Linked DNA regions of Saccharomyces cerevisiae S288C. Each later gene encodes a partner of the first gene's protein in a complex. Each region holds a gene or a part of one and is shown in the gene's direction. Other genes may lie near its edges. The genes, in order: MIM1 and MIM2.

The links.
Region 2: MIM1 (region 1) and MIM2 share a complex: the UniProt entries of both Saccharomyces cerevisiae proteins name them as parts of the MIM complex.

The regions. Positions count from the first base shown.
Region 1 is NC_001147.6:273,174-275,924, reverse strand, and holds MIM1 (Mim1p), read left to right. Parts: upstream 1-1,571; coding exon 1,572-1,913; downstream 1,914-2,751. Other genes in the region: LAG2 (Lag2p), read right to left, coding at 1-968; ribosome-binding protein MDM38, read left to right, coding at 2,201-2,751. UniProt on the Saccharomyces cerevisiae protein: Component of the MIM complex required for mitochondrial outer membrane protein import. The MIM complex cooperates with the receptor TOM70 in binding of precursor proteins and promotes their insertion and assembly into the outer membrane.
Region 2 is NC_001144.5:339,507-342,273, forward strand, and holds MIM2 (Mim2p), read left to right. Parts: upstream 1-1,818; coding exon 1,819-2,082; downstream 2,083-2,767. Other genes in the region: lysophosphatidic acid acyltransferase ICT1, read right to left, coding at 238-1,422; ERG27 (3-keto-steroid reductase), read left to right, coding at 2,304-2,767. UniProt on the Saccharomyces cerevisiae protein: Component of the MIM complex required for outer membrane protein import. Involved in import of the subset of proteins with multiple alpha-helical transmembrane segments, including UGO1, TOM20 and FZO1.

The DNA.
Region 1 (2,751 bases):
TCTCTTAGCTGGCTAATAGTCGAATCTGACAATAGAGGCCTATTATCCTTTAGCCTACGAATAGAAAAATATGGATGGAAGTTATGAACTATTTCGAGAACATCTTCGACGTTACATTCTTCTCCCATTTGCGGGGGGAATAGAACCGGTAATAGCCGGTTAGTAAATAATTTATCGACTATGGGGCCAAATTTGTACCATATTCGAGAAACTGCTGCTAAAGTATTGTACTTCATTTTGGGGCATAAATTTTCCAGGTCCACCGGATGAGTTAATTGCGTAGAAGTCAAAAGTAATTTTTCTGTGATCCTATCAATGCTTTCATTTGTATTCGTAGCAGAATAGTCCTGCGCAATTGTAAAAACGTCATTCAAAATATCAAAGGGCAGTGTGACCATTACTGAAGGACTTGCCGCGTCTGAAAAGAAGCTAAATTTTAGCAATAGATTAAGGGATTCTATGTAAATTAGCATATTGCTTTCAGAAAGTGAATGTGAAAGCTGCGCAGCATCCACATCACACATATGCCTTTTCATTTCAACAATAAATTTGGAGATAAACTCTAATGAACTGTTTACTGGTTGGTGGTAATCTAAATGAGGGGAGTTTTCAATTTTTTGTAACACATTTCTTAGTGTCTCAATCAGAACAAAAGAACGATTTGCATGTATCATGCTTTGGTTTAATAAAGGGTCGCATATCAAGCTTATTACCCATCCCAACTGAGCAGCTGCAGGGTCGCTGATCATAGAAAGAACTAAATCGGGGAGCACTTGAAACGATACTAGGTTGAGAATTTCCATGTCTTGTTCTTCGACCAATACCGGGAGCAGCAATTCGTTAACAAGAGGAGCCAGCTCATCCTCTATGTCGTTAATTTTAAAGTTTTGCCTTAAAAGCATATATTTAAGGTCATTGTCCTTAGTGGAACGATATTGCTCAATCAGTTTACTAATGTGCAAGCTCATTACTAGTTGCGGTAGAACGTGATGTTGATATAGCTGAGTGCAATGTAAACGATTTTGCTACCACTTGTGTAATGTAGAACAAGCTAACCTTAGCTATGTGTAAAAATTTTGTAGAGATGATTCAATAAATGTCACGAAAGGATTGTAGAAGGATAAGAAGCAAGAATTCACAAAAAAGAAATGCGTCACAGACAGGATTCGAACCTGCGCAGGTAAAACCCAATGCCTAATTGCTTTTCTGAGGAAATAGCAGGGCATCGCCTTAACCACTCGGCCACTGGGACACGATTACTTACAATGCACAGCAAGAGCACCCCAACAGTACTTTAAAAACTCTCCTCCAAATATGTCTGCAACGTGTACTATTTATTATAACGAAGATAAATAGTAATACCAATGGCCCATAAAAGCGTATTATTCCACTACCATCGGCCTCCCCTACCACTGAACAAGAGGAATGCGTTACGAGATGTAATCACTTATAACGAAGTGGTATATTCCGCGCCATAAGAAACAGCCATACACTTTACTTGAACAATAGAACATCACTGTAATATTAGAAACATCACCCCCCTTCTTACGAAACTGCCACAAGACAGAAATATGACAGAGGTTGTGGGATTCTGGGAGAGCGTGTCAGATGACGAATCAGAAGACAAAGACTGTATGGAGGTGCAGAACACAGTGAGTGCCGACGAGAGCCCACTTGTGCAGAGCCTTGTATCCTTTGTAGGCTCGTGCTCCATCAACCTACTTTTGCCCTTCCTCAACGGCATGATGCTCGGCTTCGGCGAGCTATTTGCTCACGAGCTCTGCTGGAGATTCAATTGGTTTAACCATAGAAACAAGGGGTATAAGGTGTACCCAGAGTCGCGCAAAATAGCAGCATTGAAAGAGATTTCAAGCCCTGGCACCCGTGGGAGGGTTGCGTCCAAGTTCCTTTAAACGATCACCAAAGCATTAGCAACCTACATAAATAAATACACACACACATACGGTAGATTATACGTAACCACATAACTGGCAATAGTTTCACAAGCCATAAAGCTAGCCACGGTATTACCCTCAAACGACCCCGTCTTGGGCGATAATCCCGCGGTGAAAAATTATTCGTTGAATCATCTCCAAATAAATGGATCAGTCATTGCCACGGTGATGAATATGAACAGCGCAGTGCATTTCAGGCAGCGCATAATATACGCTATCTCTATCACTACAGATAATATACTAAGATGTTGAATTTCGCATCAAGAGCGTCATGTGTGACAAGACGTCAAGCAAGCTTGTATTTTGTTAAAAATCAAGGCCCTAGATTAATAGCTTCCACTATTCCCTCGTGTCATTGGCCTTTGAGAGCGCAAGGAGTACAGCCCAACTATCCTTTATCTTTGAGATTTTATTCTACTGATAAGTCGAAAAGTGTTACGAAGCCCGTAGCTCCAACATCCACCGATGCTCCTGCCAAGCCCAAGGAGACGCTTATGGTCAAAGTGAAGCACGCCTTGAAACATTATGCTAATGGGACGAAACTTTTGGGTTACGAAATCAAAGTTTCTACTAAGCTTTTGATTAAATTTGCTCAGGGTTACGAGTTGTCTAGAAGAGAGAGGAACCAATTGAGGAGGACAATGGGCGATGTGTTTAGGTTGATCCCTTTTTCAGCGTTCCTTATTATTCCATTCGCCGAACTATTTTTGCCTTTCGCTTTGAAACTCTTCCCCAACTTACTACCCTCCACTTACGAATCCGGCAAGGATAAGCAAGCCAAGAGAAATAAGCTCAT
Region 2 (2,767 bases), on another chromosome or scaffold:
GGGCTATTTTTGAAAACTTACGGCGATGTCAACTTGTTGATTTTGCTTTGTTTCGTTCGGGATGGATCGGAACATCCGCTCACATATGAGAGGTTTACACTCTTGATGTATATGTTGCTCTATCTTGTATACGGTTAAGTAAAGTGATGTATTATGTATATGTATGTATTTATATATATATATATATATATGCGTGGTTTTCCATATTGTATTTTTCTTCTCTACTCTATATAGGCATTACTTTGACAGGAACGAGACTAAAGAAGAGGCAAAGTGCTGCGGGTTGTCCAGGAAAAGATTATGGCCAGCATCAGGGACTTCAACGTAGCTAGCCTTTGCCTTGTTTTTTAGCATTGATTCAGTAGTCAAGTAGCCCGCATATTTATCCATCCAATCGTGCTCGCCATACATGAACATGACAGGCGTTGCTGGGTTCAAAAAACGAACGTTGTTTATTATCGGATCTCTAGCGATCAGATTCCTTTCAAACAAATGGGTGAACACCTTGATTGTCTGTGGTTGCACCGTCTGGTTCTTCCCGACAAATGAGTGCAAAAGATAGTCCTTATATATCTGATCCGGAACTTTTACGTATGCGGTGGAGATGTAGTTCGAGCACAATTTGGAGCCTATGGGTCCCATCCACTTCAAAACGTTTAGCTGGTTTTCAAAGATAAACCGCGGTACGTTCAGCTTTCTTGTATAATATCGGGACGATGGGTCGGTAAACGTAAGTGGATAGGTGGTGTTGGGCTCCCATTTGTGGGTGATAGCATGTATACTGTTTTCCACACCAAGAGGAGATATGAGACACAGTTTCTCAATGGAATCAGGGTACTTGAGGGCGTATTTGAATGAAATATATCCTCCGAATGAATGGCCCACCACGTTTATTTTGCGAAGCTTGTTATCCTTCCGCCATTGCTCTATCCTGTCTACGAAGTAGCTTTCGTACTGCTCCAGGTGTGACTTGATGTCCTCTGCTGGGGGGCGCTTCTCTATCACAGGGATTACTACGTCATCTTCTATATGCTTAAACCTGAGAGACTTGATCTTCTTGGTTTTGTTCACTTGCAATGCTGGCGCCTCTGAGGCACCATTGGCTGGCAAGTCGATGGCATATAGATCTTTAATGTTGTCTGACAGGTTCTCAAACGTCCTGTAGAACGCCATCGACGAGGCAGCGTATCCATGGATTAGTACTGTAGGCGTGCACACTTTGTTCGCACGCTTATTGTGGAAATGCCACTGGTTAATCCCGCCTGGAGTCATCGTGTTATTAACGGACCCACGCACAGTGGTGCTATCCATAATTTGCTGCTGCAGGGCCTTCAGGCCCTGCACGCTAGCACACACCTTGGCGTCTGCAGTAGTGGTCTCCTTCTCAGTTTTGCTGCACCATTTGAAAGTGTTTGTCCACATTCTACTGAAGAAAACTACGCTTACGTATGTATATGTCCTGAACAATGAGAGAAAGACCTGCGAATATACTTCTACTACTCCACGTACAAAAAAGAGCACGCTGCTTTATTTATACTTTTGTGCCACAAGAATGATCAACATCAACATAAATATCAACTAGTATCTGCAACACATCTGCTCCACGGAACTAAACCCGTTGAGCAGTGCCCCGTGGAAACGTAAACTATCGCAAATTGGGATTAACAAGCCAAAAACAGCCAAGCAAGATTCACGAAACCGCGCCTCGTTTGGACCCCGAAGGCCCATTTAACGGCCGGCCGTTACAAGCAAGATCGGCAGAGCAAACCACTCCCCAGCACCACAGCACATCACTGCACGAGCAACAATAACTAGAACATGGCAGATAGCGAGGATACCTCTGTGATCCTGCAGGGCATCGACACAATCAACAGCGTGGAGGGCCTGGAAGAAGATGGTTACCTCAGCGACGAGGACACGTCACTCAGCAACGAGCTCGCAGATGCACAGCGTCAATGGGAAGAGTCGCTGCAACAGTTGAACAAGCTGCTCAACTGGGTCCTGCTGCCCCTGCTGGGCAAGTATATAGGTAGGAGAATGGCCAAGACTCTATGGAGTAGGTTCATTGAACACTTTGTATAAGTGTTTGTTGTTTATGTATCCGCATATAGCAGTTATAACAGATAAATGGCACTTTTCGCACACCCGTTGTTTTATCTCCGATAGTACGTGGGCCTTTATTTATGGTCGTTTAACGAAAGAACGGCATCTTGAATTGAGCAGGTATTTAAAAGATAGGACGAGAAACAAGCACATGATCTGTGTCGAAAAAAAGTAGCAAAGAGAAAAAGTAGGAGGATAGGATGAACAGGAAAGTAGCTATCGTAACGGGTACTAATAGTAATCTTGGTCTGAACATTGTGTTCCGTCTGATTGAAACTGAGGACACCAATGTCAGATTGACCATTGTGGTGACTTCTAGAACGCTTCCTCGAGTGCAGGAGGTGATTAACCAGATTAAAGATTTTTACAACAAATCAGGCCGTGTAGAGGATTTGGAAATAGACTTTGATTATCTGTTGGTGGACTTCACCAACATGGTGAGTGTCTTGAACGCATATTACGACATCAACAAAAAGTACAGGGCGATAAACTACCTTTTCGTGAATGCTGCGCAAGGTATCTTTGACGGTATAGATTGGATCGGAGCGGTCAAGGAGGTTTTCACCAATCCATTGGAGGCAGTGACAAATCCGACATACAAGATACAACTGGTGGGCGTCAAGTCTAAAGATGACATGGGGCTTATTTTCCAGGCCAATGTGTT